Linked DNA regions of Oryzias latipes. The protein of the gene in region 2 interacts with the protein of the main gene of each other region in a pairwise test. Links are inferred from orthologs where the notes say so. Each region holds a gene or a part of one and is shown on either strand. Other genes may lie near its edges.

The links.
Region 1: the proteins of lsm1 (region 2) and lsm2 interact in binary tests that used the Homo sapiens proteins (3 or more experiments, as listed by UniProt). The link is inferred for Oryzias latipes from reciprocal best matches to the Homo sapiens genes LSM1 and LSM2.
Region 3: the proteins of lsm1 (region 2) and lsm4 interact in binary tests that used the Homo sapiens proteins (3 or more experiments, as listed by UniProt). The link is inferred for Oryzias latipes from reciprocal best matches to the Homo sapiens genes LSM1 and LSM4.

Annotation. Positions count from the first base shown.
Region 1 is NC_019862.2:27,136,820-27,140,848, reverse strand, and holds the start of lsm2 (U6 snRNA-associated Sm-like protein LSm2), read right to left. Parts: upstream 2,856-4,029; 5' UTR 2,738-2,855; coding exon 2,735-2,737; intron 2,550-2,734; coding exon 2,482-2,549; intron 1,363-2,481; coding exon 1,332-1,362; intron 1,246-1,331; coding exon 1,186-1,245; intron 284-1,185; coding exon 158-283; 3' UTR 1-157. UniProt on the Homo sapiens protein: Plays a role in pre-mRNA splicing as component of the U4/U6-U5 tri-snRNP complex that is involved in spliceosome assembly, and as component of the precatalytic spliceosome (spliceosome B complex).
Region 2 is NC_019867.2:18,635,738-18,639,782, forward strand, and holds lsm1 (U6 snRNA-associated Sm-like protein LSm1), read left to right. Parts: upstream 1-1,247; 5' UTR 1,248-1,337; coding exon 1,338-1,383; intron 1,384-1,493; coding exon 1,494-1,562; intron 1,563-1,692; coding exon 1,693-1,808; intron 1,809-2,777; coding exon 2,778-2,948; 3' UTR 2,949-3,476; downstream 3,477-4,045. Other genes in the region: bag4 (BAG family molecular chaperone regulator 4), read right to left, coding at 528-617. UniProt on the Homo sapiens protein: Plays a role in the degradation of histone mRNAs, the only eukaryotic mRNAs that are not polyadenylated. Probably also part of an LSm subunits-containing complex involved in the general process of mRNA degradation.
Region 3 is NC_019862.2:13,834,449-13,838,669, forward strand, and holds the start of lsm4 (U6 snRNA-associated Sm-like protein LSm4), read right to left. Parts: upstream 2,853-4,221; 5' UTR 2,733-2,852; coding exon 2,730-2,732; intron 2,304-2,729; coding exon 2,262-2,303; intron 2,022-2,261; coding exon 1,923-2,021; intron 231-1,922; coding exon 50-230; intron 1-49. UniProt on the Homo sapiens protein: Plays a role in pre-mRNA splicing as component of the U4/U6-U5 tri-snRNP complex that is involved in spliceosome assembly, and as component of the precatalytic spliceosome (spliceosome B complex).

The DNA.
Region 1 (4,029 bases), on a different chromosome or scaffold from region 2:
CCACAGACCTGCAGTTGGCCCATCGCCAACATCAGGAATGCACTCAATTCTCCATCGACCGGCGCAGTGTGTGGAGGCGGTTCACAGCGGTCTTCTTCAAACTGAACTATAAAGAACCCATGACTTAAAGCCCCCCTCCCCGAACCCGCAGCCCCGGTCACTGCTTCTGCTGCATGGCTTCCTTCCGAGCGGCGTCCTGAAGCAGCTGAGTGTCCACCTCGTCTGCCGGCAGCTGAACGTACCGGACCACCGAGCCGCGGATGAAACAGTTTTTCACAGACAGCTGGAGAGCGTGAAACACGTGAGACACGGAGTCAGGCAGGGCGCCTTCCAGAGGAAGAGAATGAACACATCCAAGGGGATTCAGAAGCTAACACTTCTCTTTTTCCCACCACTCTCACGGGTCAAATAACCACATTTACACTCACCTGCCACTTTATTAGGCACACCTGTCCATCTGCTCGTTATCACAAATTTCCAACCAGCCAATCACATGACAGCAAATCAATGCATTTAGACATGGTCAAGATGATCTGCTGCTGTTCAACCCGAGCATCAGAATGAGGAAAAAAGGTGATTTAAGTGATTTTGAACGCAGCAAAGCTGAAATCATCTATTAATAATGAGTTCTCTGGACTCGATGGTCTCCACAGTCACCAGATCTCAACCCAATAGATCACCTTTGGGATGTGGTGGAACGGGAGATTGGCATCATGGATGTGCAGCCGACAAATCTGCAGCAACCGTGTGATGCTGTCATGTCAATATGGACCAAACTCTCTGAGAAATGTTTCCAGAACTTTGTTGAATCTCTGCCACCAAGGATTAAGGCAGTTCTGAAGGCAAAATGGGGTCCAACCCAGTACTAGCAAGGTGCGCCTAATAAAGTGGGCAGTGAGTGTAGAACTTCTGCATATTTTTAAATGTTTTTCTGAAAAATTGTAGTTTAGAAACTCTGAAAAATGTTTCTAAATCTTTGCTGTTTACCTGAAGAACTGCTGTCTGCTCTGCCCTACACTGAAACTGAACTTCCAAAGGTGTGCTTCTACATTTCTCACCCAGCAGACAACTTTAAAAATGTTTGTTATACTGACAGAAGGAAATAAAAGAATAAAAACAACTGTATGTTTTAGAGGCCTCTATGCAAACTTTAGACTAAAAAGTAAACCATAGATGAGGACTTGCCATGTGTGGATACTTCTCTGGGTCTGTCACACTGATGTCGGTCAACTTGATGTTCAGGTACTAGATGATGACAAGAACAACATTTTTAAATTGCAAACCAATACATTGATTAATTAAAAAAAGTAAAGAATTAATTATTTTCTAACCTGATCAACAGAATGAAGCGTCCCACAGATACTGGGGGGAAAAAGAGAAAATGAAGCTTTCAATGCAACAGTGAACTTTTGATGTTAAATGACTTTCTGGGAATATGCAAATTTGTATTGAACAAGTCAAAGTTTTTGTTCAGTAAATTTATTTCTATTGTCAATGCTGCAGGAAAGTCTGTTTTTTCTTATATCCCACTCTTATCTTTTTAAAGCGCTCCTAGTGGTCTTTAAATGTGCTGTTTTTAGCCAAAAATAAAAAAAAAACCTGCGTCGTTTTCTAGGACAGTTTCTGCAGAGCAGCAGTTGTTCACTAGAAATTTGTCTGAGATCGTTGGTGCAGAGCAAGCCTGCCCCATCTTCCCATCATCCTTTGCTAACTTACAACCCCCCCCCCTTAACCCAACATTAGGTGTGCAACAAAAAAGAAAAAAAAAGTAATATTGGAGCAATCCAGCCGTACAGTTATTTGTGCCAGCTCAGACCAGGAAAACAAAGACGGACAAATCTATTTGCCTGCAAGTGGATGCATCAGAATGGAGCAGAGCAGGGAGCTTATGGCATCAAAACCACTTTTTTCATTTGGATGGGTTTTTAAAAAAAGTACCACATGTCTAAGTATCGTCCATCTGTGAGAGGAGCTAAGAATTATGAGTTACGTCTTTAAAGAATGCCCAACAACTAACTGTAAGCTAATTTTAATATTTACTTTTGAGCTTTCATCATGAGATGCAGCTAGTTTGATTGACCCCCCACCCCCACCCCCGCAATTGACCCTACTTCTTCGGGAAAAAGGTCTAAAATGAATTTGCAGCACGTTTGCAGACCAAGAGTTAGCTCAGAAAACTAACAGGAAAAAAAGTACATTTTTCACGCTGCTGGCACCAACCTATTGAGCCAGATTTGCAACAAATGCTGGAAGGAAGGGATGGCAACCCCACGCCACTGTGACCAGCATGAGATGCAAAACACCAGCTAGAAGGAAAGACAGCAACTCTGACAGAGTCAATGTCTCTGTCAATGCTAAGTAGCTCTTCACTGCACCCATTCAAACAGCGCTAGCAGAACCACGCGCCATTTTTAACCACAAACGGCGCTTTGAAAAGAAACATTACCAAACAAATTGGTATGTTGAGTTATCAAAACCAACCTGAGGTCGTTTTTCAGCTCCACCACCACGTCCTTCCCAACCAAAGACTTGAAAAACGAGTAGAAAAGCTGTAGATTTTTTTTAAAAAAAAGACGATGTTAGCACGATGATGGGCCGACAAAGCGGCTCAGCACACTGCGAGCAAACTCAGCGACAAAACAAAAGAAATTCAGAAGAATTCTGACACTCAGAAACCTAAAATGTTTGACTTAAACTAAAAAAGTACATTTTAAAATGACGATTTACGCCTTACCATTTTGGCTGTGGTGTTCTACAGAAGGTTTGGCTGCTGTTGATGACGTATCAGCCTGCGCCGTGTTTCAGCGGTGAGTGAGTACCACTTTGCGCCACTAGAGGGAGACACACTGTCGTTCAATGTTTATTAAGGAACTATCAGGTGTTTTTCATTGACCGAGATTTAAATTTAGGCTTTCACTCATATTTCTTTAAAAAAAAAAGACATAAAAAACATTATGAGCCATCTCTTAAAAAATTGAATAAAATATCAAAAGTCTAATTCAGATTTAGTCTAGCTTCTAGTCTAGCTACCAGACATGTTTGTGATACTTTTTGTACCTCAAAACTTTATTTTTTTGTAGTATGCAGACCTTTACTGTGATTTAAAAACACACACAAACACAAACCTGAAATGTCTATAATTTGCTGCAAGAGTTTTTAATCAGGATTAAGTTTGTTCCTCAATGTTCTTTTATAAATTACGACGGAGTTTTAGGGCCACCAAAAAAAAACAAAAAAAAAACGTAGGGTCGTAATAAAAACATAGAACCTAAACTATATTAATAACGATATTAATCTTTGTAAAGAAATTGTGTTTTTCTATACTGGTCAAAGGAAAGCATGCTTTTCATGCTTTAATGCTGAAAGTTTTCTGTATGAAAACTGGATATATTTATTGTTTACGTCTTCTAATTTAAAGAACCTTTGGTCTCCAGTGCCATTTGGAGTTTTATTCTGTTTCTTCTCCAATGTCTTTCTGATTTTATCTACAGTTTGATGCAATAAAAATCAGAAAATGAACACAATTGTGACCGTTTTGTTTCAAGAGTTCTTTCTGTATTCTGATGAAAGACCACACGGGGGCAGTGTCGAGCACTCAGATGTTTTAACAAATCTTTTCAGCTTCTTTACTCATCATGGTTTACGAACTTGATCTGAAACAGAAAACTCTATAGCAACGAATCACAACTGAATGTACACAGTTTTATCTTTAAAATAATTATTAATTCAAAAGTTCTTTTGTTTTGTTTTTGAGAAAGTTAAGACGTTGCTCCTGGGTCTTCTGTTGTTGACACGGGTAAATTCCACTAAATGTGCTTAAACTGTGGAGTGGACGGTGTCTCAGTGGACTCTAGTTCAGGATAAAAAACAAACAGGTGAGATAACTCTGGACCATTTACTCCTTTTATGAATTTTCCTATGTTTTGGAAATTCTTTTATTACAAGATACATACTTGATAGAGTGAGTCTTTCTGCAACTGTTAACTTAATTCATTTTCATCAAATATAGGGCTGCACAGTGACGTAGTG
Region 2 (4,045 bases):
AAGTTGACACGAGACAGCGACTCACTTTATGTGATCCAACCCATTTTGTGTAGCTATCCTAAATCTCAAATAGAGATATGGAGAACTTGATGCTGAGAAACTTAAATGATAAACGCATTGATAAACATATACTCGTGTCTTTCTAGAAAACTAAATAAATGGATGTTAACTTGTGTTTAAATGAATGAAATAATTTGAGCTAAACCAATGATTAACTCATGAAACTCTATATGATCGCTACGATCTCCTAACGTGCAGAAGTGTTGTGTTAAATCGATATTTTCGAGTCAATGTAATTTAAAAACAAGGACTTAACTAATAAGCTAGCAGTAACTATTACATAATGCCCGCTAGCTATATTAGCTATGAAGCTAGCATGATGAACATTGCGAAGAACTTCTGCACGAACGAACAAACGGATTTTATTGTTGGGAGATTTTAAATTAATCTTTGTTTCTTTAAAGCACAATATGATCTGTCACCCCCTCCCCCCAGTAAAGTTTTTTTTAATTAATCTGCTCGCTTACCATAGTGTTACTGCAGCTTCCGTGACTATTTCCCGAGTTAGTAGAGGGCCAGCCAGTTTTCCCGTTTGGCTGCATTTGGGGTTTCTGCATCAGTTACACGTATTTTGCCATCTTCCAAAATAAGCAAGACTATCACTAGTTTACGGTTCCGCTAGAAATCTGACAGCTGATCAAAGCAGCAGCTTCCCCGCAGAAGTCAGGATCGCCTGATTGCAACCAAGAAATGAATAAATGACGCGGAACTCTGGAGACATGGTACTGCGTCTTTAAGTCGAGTAGAACCATTACAAGTAAAGAGGAGTCACTCTCTAAAACTTTCTGATCGAAATTGCTGGATGAAACCTTACAATTGCAAAACGCAGAAACGGGGAACACAATTAGAATATTTTTAATTAAAGATATTTATTTTCAATATATTTTACTGCTAAGACCAACTATTGAATTACTCCTGTAGCAGTTGTATTTTTTAAACATGTGACGCAACTTTTCAAAATTTTCATTTACGATCTTTGATGTGGCACATGCGTTGGAAGGGTTACCATCCATCATCAAATGGGGACATTTAATCCAAACATGTTTTATAGAAAATTCTTTTTGTATCATAAAATGTATGATACTTTTGTTTAAATCATTTTTACACAGTTATTTTTAGAAAATTCGAGCTATGCGCAATTACGGTGCGGAAGGGGTTAAATGTTTACAGGAAGTGTATAAAAGCACTTCCTGTGCACCGTCAAATAGAAACGGGTAAAAACATTCATGGCTTGATGGTTCAGAAATCAACTAAACGCGTGAAAACTGCAACTAAACATGAATTACGTACCAGGGACGGCCAGTCTCATTGACGATATTGACAGTAAGTTGGGCCTTATAGAAATTGCTTTTTTTAATCATAAACAAACGACACAATGTATTAGCGTGTGCCGTGTGGACGCAGATTTTTTTTAAATGTTTTTAATTTCGCAGAAAAGCACTTGGTCCTGCTGCGAGATGGCAGAACACTAATCGGTTACCTGAGAAGCATCGATCAGTTTGGTAATAAAAAATGAGAATCTTCTAAACTCTTCCATGCGGGTTTATTTTTTTATTTTTATATGATTACGCGGTGTTTCAATAGTCCTAAATTTGTTTGTTTCTTTCTTTTTTTTTTTTTTTTGTTCCACAGCCAATTTAGTCTTTCATCAGACGGTGGAGCGTATCCACGTGGGAAAGAAATTTGGAGATATTCCCAGAGGTATCTTCATCGTCAGGGGAGAAAATGTAGTCCTGCTTGGGGAAATAGTAAGTGTTTTAGAGCAATTTTTTAGTTTGTTCTAAACTTGAATGTAATTTCTGGATCAAGTTTTATTTACGTGAACTTGTTCTCAGATGCTCCGTACAGCACCAAACATCAAACTCTGAATGTGGTCAAGCATCCAGGTCTCGCACTGCAGAAAATGATGTGACTCTTATTTAAAGATCAAGTTAAATTTATATGCAAGTAAATTGTTACTTTATATAGTTACTACAGTTATAAACTTTTTTTTTTGAAAAGTTGCTGCCTAAATGAATACTTGCTTAAAAAGGAAATTGCGCACACATTGACTGTAAAGGTACCTCCATGTTAAGGTTACTTAGCAAAAACAAAAAAGGCTTAATTTTACAACTTTTTCAAATTTGCTGTTTGGTCTAGCCAGATTTTTTATTTTTCTCTCCTGGTTTTCAATATGATATAAAAGAAAAGCGGGTGGGAAAAGTGGTGAGGATTGTCAATCTTTGCTCTTTCCATATAAATACAATGCATACTTCTTCTTACTTTTTTTTTTCTTAATTATAATTTAGATTACCAATGATTACACAAATGATTGCAGGATTGCTGCTAGTTTACCTCACAACCCCAACCTAACATGATGGTGGTAGAAATGAATACGGCAACAATATTAGAGCTATCCAGCCATAGTTTGGAGCCAGATCTCAGCTCCGATGAGGGAAACAAAGAGGCACATGCATCGTTTTGTCTACAATGGATGCATCAGAATAGAGTGGTGCAGGGAGCTTGTGGCTTACCATTCGAACTTGTGTCACACAAGTTTTTCGTGGGTCCTTGAACCACGGAGTTTAAGCATCTTTTTGGGCAAAACTATGAGCAGGCCATAGCATTGAGTACTAGCAACTTTTGTTAGTGTCATGGAATGATGCACAGAGCCTAAAAGAACTTGATGACATTTTCGGATCATAAGATTTGACCTCACTCTCCTGTGTCCTGTGCAGGATTTGGATAAGCCCTGCGACACAGTCTTGCAGCAGGTTTCAATTGAGGAGATCCTGGAGGAGCAGCGGTTGCAGCAGCAGGCCAAACAGGAAACGGAGAAAGTCAAAATGCAAGCTCTGAAGGACAGAGGCCTTTCCATACCCAAAGCTGATAATTTGGACGAGTATTGAACCCTTTACAAGCCTTTTAGTTTGTATAAGACAAATGGATTTTATGTTTAACTGAAGGGTGTCTTTTGTTTTGTGGCTAGAATCATGTAAGGCACAATACTGCATTGTTTTGTTTTGCTTTTTTTTCTTTTCTTAATAGTTTCATTTAAATTGTATGGGGATGTAAGAACTGTTTAAGCAAATGGTTACAACTTGACGGCCTTTTTACAGCAGCACTTTGTCATCAATCATCATAATGACGTGAACTTTTTATTTGGAGATGGTGGGTCTGCTAGTGACTAACACTCCTGTTCTCCATTAAAACAATTGAGTTTCACTTACTAAAGCCTGCTTGAAAAATCTTTTGTCTTTGAAGGTTTAATCTGCAAGTACACAGAAAGCGGTGCGTTTAGTCATTTAAGTATTTATTGGTGACTTGACTGGCTTCCTATTGGCTAATCAAAACGTTAATTCTGTTATAGGGATGATCTTTCAGATACTGATCAATTTCCCTCATTAGCTGCTAGAATAAAGTGACGTGTAAGAGAAGCTATGCGTTTTACAGTCATCTTTATATGTACCCCGTATACTTTTTTATTTTTTTTTATTTATTTTTTTCTTAACCTATAGCAGGGTTCTGCAACCTTCAGCACATAAAGAGCCATTTGGGTTGATGTCTCAATGACCACGCCCCAGTAGGAGTCAAAGTCTTTATTTTTTTATTTTTTTAAGACTAATTTGTCTTGGATACTAATATGATAAATATAGATGAACTGTTATTTGGCATAAATAAAAAAATATAAAGAGAAAATAGCTTTTTTTTTAAAATACCGGTAGTTTAAACTTTTGATGGAGGTTCATGTGACTTCCTCTCAATAAGTGTCCTGTTTCACATGGGATCCTCTCAATCCAGCAAATGTAGAAGTGTAATGTCAGCAGTGATTAAAAATAGATATTTTAGCATTTGAGGTGCATAACAGCCAACATTTGTAAATCAAATCAACAAAAAAAAATTAGAGCTAAGTGACCCTTGCCATATTTATTAGAACCATAAGGTGAACTTAAAAATCCTTCAATTTGTTAAATAGAAAACTCACCATCCATTACTCCTTTAGTAG
Region 3 (4,221 bases), on a different chromosome or scaffold from region 2:
CATTAAGGCAAATCATGACAGAACAAATGCAGAAGTTGCTTCCTCTCACCTCGGCCGGCTCCGCCTCTTCCTTTACCCTGCTGCTTATTCTGCTGGGCACCTCCACGTCCACGACCCTTAGAAACCACCTCATCCTTCACCATGTCAATAATCTCATCTGGAATTCGCAGATACTTGATGGTACTTCCCCTGATGTAGCACTCTGGCATCCTCCAAAACTTATCACCATCCTGTGGGAAAAAGACCAAACGATGAGTGTAACCAGTATACTTCAAAGGGTCTATGCTAAATCCCTTTTTTGAACTTCCCGGTGTATTATAAAGAAACCTCAAACCAGTATTGACCCATTCACGCATTTCTGAGAATTCCTCTAAAAACCTGTGCTCCAGGAACCAGCCACACCTAACCCACAAAAACAAGCGGGTTCTCACGAGCTGATGTAGATAAGTGAGAACAGCCCCTTCCAGGAAGAGTCTGCGCTGCCAGCCCCGCCCCCAGGCTAAAACACACACTCCATGAAGCTAGTGGTGTTTGGCAAAACTCTCTTTACATGCTCAATATGCACATTCATCTTTACGAAAGTTTGAATGTTGTTTGTTTCGTGGGCGAGACACAGACATGTTGTTGATGCTGGCTATAGGTTGACATCATGGAAGTGCCGGTGCCTCAGATCCAGTCGTCTTGCTTCCAGGTTGGAAAATAACTCAGGAAAATAACTAATATTCATTCATCATTTTTTAATTCATCTTCTAAACCCGCTTTGTCCCTTTTGGGGTCACTGGGCTGCCGGGGCCTATCCCAGCTACTCATGGGTGAAGGCAGGGGGCTTCCTGGACAGGACACCAGTCTGTCACAGGTCCACAAATCACTCACCCATGCACACTTGCATTCACACTTATGGACAATTTAAGGTAACCAATTAACCTACGAAGGTGGGAGTCCCCGGAGAAAACCCACGTATGCACGGGGAGAACATGCAAACTCCACACAGACAGGTTCTTTTTCAGGTCCCCCAGCCAAGTCTTGGACCTGGCTGGGCTTGCAGTTGGCTGGGGGACCAACAGCAACCAAGTCCCCAAAACTTGGCTGGGGGATCTTGCGCTAACCACTGCGCCACGTAACTAATATTTAATTTAAAAAATCTTTCTTTTGTGGGCCAAAGGTAATATATATATGGATATTCTTTACCATGAATGGTTTAGGAATAGCATGGTACAGGGCCTTTAACAATAATCAGTCCTTTTTCTTCTAACAAAAAAAATTAGCGTTGAGGTTTTTGTTCCAACATGTATCAAAGGATGTTTTACTAAAACCATTGCTTCATTATACATTAGTCTTTATATTTTAAAGGCTCACTTCAATTATCTTTTGATCTATTCCCAGTATTTTGATTTTGTTTTTTTTCATTATGCAGCTTTAAGCCAAAATGAAAAACTTGTCTTGTTTTCTAGGACAGTTTCTGCAGAGTGACAGAAGTTCATTAGAAATATACCTAAAAAAGCCTGCCGCATTTTCCAAGGTCCCTTTGTTTCCACTCTCCTGCTAGCTTACACACCCTCATACCCCCAATCTAACACCAAGTGCAAGAAAATTGGTGGGGAATGTTGAAGCTATACAGACGTACAGTTTAAAGCCAGATGCCAGCTCAGACGAGGAAAACCAAGACGTAAATGGATCTAATTGCCTACAAACTTTCTTTATATATGTCCGTCATTATGAGAAAAATGCCACAAAACATGTTAAAAACCAAACCAAACAAATACACTATTTTAATTGGGGTGGGTCTTTAAACGGCTAAGGTAGTCAGAATGAAAACTGAAGGAAACAGGTAAGCGACTGTTAAATTTAAGCTAATTTTTTTTATTTAAGGTGTGCAGTTTATGGATCGTTCTCCACTGAGAACATGAGAGCAAATCTGTTACCCTGGATGTGCAGATGACTTCTCTCAAGTTGATGTTCATCCAGTTGTCACAGCTAACCAGATGACCGTTGTAGGTTTCTCCATTCTTCAGTTCAACCAGCTGAAAAAAATCAAAGTTCATTGAAAAAAAGGTCAGCTGGTGATTATGGTTTTCTAAAAGGTTCTTTCTTTATTCAAAAAGAAATGCACAAAAATTATTGTTTAAAGAAAAACATGCAAACAATCTCAATAACAAAACAAAAAACCTGATCTTAAAACCACAAGTAACTGAATAAAATGGTTTAACCAGTAATCACCAGATAAGGAATAGAAGGAGGAAAGAAAAGCAATTATTTCTTACCATAGGATGGTTCTGGGCCGTCTTCAAAAGGGACAAGGGAAGCTGCGAAATAGTAGAAATGGGTCCGATTTATGATCTCTATGATATATTAAAATAATGCATTCTAAAAGGAATATTGATTCAGAAATGAAGAACACGTCTGAATGTATTTCTGTGTCGGCGGAGAAACTTAAGCTCTGTTCCGAACTATAATGATTCGTTTGTGTTTAGTTTAGTACTAAACGTGTATCTGAAATGGTGACCCCCCCCCCTTATATATTTATATAGAAAATAATTTTAAAAAGAACCACTTGTATAGTCAGCGTTCCACAAGCAGAAAACAATTTAGCATTGGTTGCTAGCGTAGCTTAGCCTTGATTTGCGATGTTTAAACCAGTTACATGGGATTTTTGAAGCCAAAGAACAGGTCAGTATTTTTATATAGTGTGTGATTTTTACAAAATAGTCCATTTGTAAGTAATAACTTACCATTCTGGTAGGTTATGTTTGTGCTGCCTTAGATTAGCAACACGATTTTTACTCGCAGACTCTTCTTCGTTTTCTACGTACTCGGTGCCACGTCTTATTAAAACATGACTGCCCCCTAGCGCAAAACATGCGCAAACACAGGAGCATTTTCTTTTGTTCTTTTACTGTGACGAAATTCAAAAATAAATACAGAGGACCAAGTGTAACATCTATCTATCAAACACAGGAGCATTTTCTTTTGTTCTTTTACTGTGACGAAATTCAAAAATAAATACAGAGGACCAAGTGTAACATCTATCTATCTATCTATCTATCTATCTATCTATCTATCTATCTATCTATCTATCTATCTATCTATCTATCTATCTATCTATCTATCTATCTATCTATCTATCTATCTATCTATCTATCTATCTATCTATCTATCTATCTATCTATCTATCTATCTATCTATCTATCTATCTATCTATCTATCTATCTATCTATCTATCTATCTATCTATCTATCTATCTATCTATCTATCTATCTATCCATCCATCTATCTATCCATCCATCCATCCATCCATCCATCCATCCATCCATCCATCCATCCATCCATCCATCCATCCATCCATCTATCTATCTATCTATCTATCTATCTATCTATCTATCTATCTATCTATCTATCTATCTATCTATCTATCTATCTATCTATCTATCTATCTATCTATCTATCTATCTATCTATCTATCTATCTATCTATCTATCTATCTATCTATCTATACACAAACATTTCCTTCAAAGCATAAAACCGCTTAATAATATCTTATAGCAAAATCCTGTGTCTCAAATTTCAGATTGTACCATTGCTGATTAGTTCGCATTAGGTATGAGTGTCTAGACTAAACATAATACAGTAATTTTTTCTTCATTTTCAGTGAAATGCATTTTTATTCCTTAAATTAGTACAGAATAAAATTAAAAAAAATAATGATGATAAAATGAGGATAATAGAGAAGAAAGAGAAGAATAATATTGAATAGATCACTGCCACAACTCCTTGTATTATAAAAAAGGAAAAGCTGGAATTTTGTTGCGTGTACATGTGACACAGTGACAATAAAATAAGTCTATTCTATTCTATTCTGTTCTATTCTATTTTATGATTAAGGTCTGTCTGGTTTTGGTAAAGTCTAAATAAATGTGACAGTGGTTTAAAAAATAATAATTTTTTTCATTACCAAATGGATTCATGTAATTGAATTACGTGAATCCTTATATAATTTGACCAACACGTTCATATTTTTGCTGGTGCAATTTTTGCAACAACTAATTTATAGCTTGGTACTTAATTAAAGTCTTATTTTATGATAAAACACAGGCAAGACAATTGGTTGTATTAAAATAGGATATTTGTGTAGTTTTTATTTATTTATTTTTTCTTTTTGTTTTTTCCCTAAGTTGACATTTCTCAGCCACCGTAGCCGTCATTCCGTTGATGGCGTCATTACGT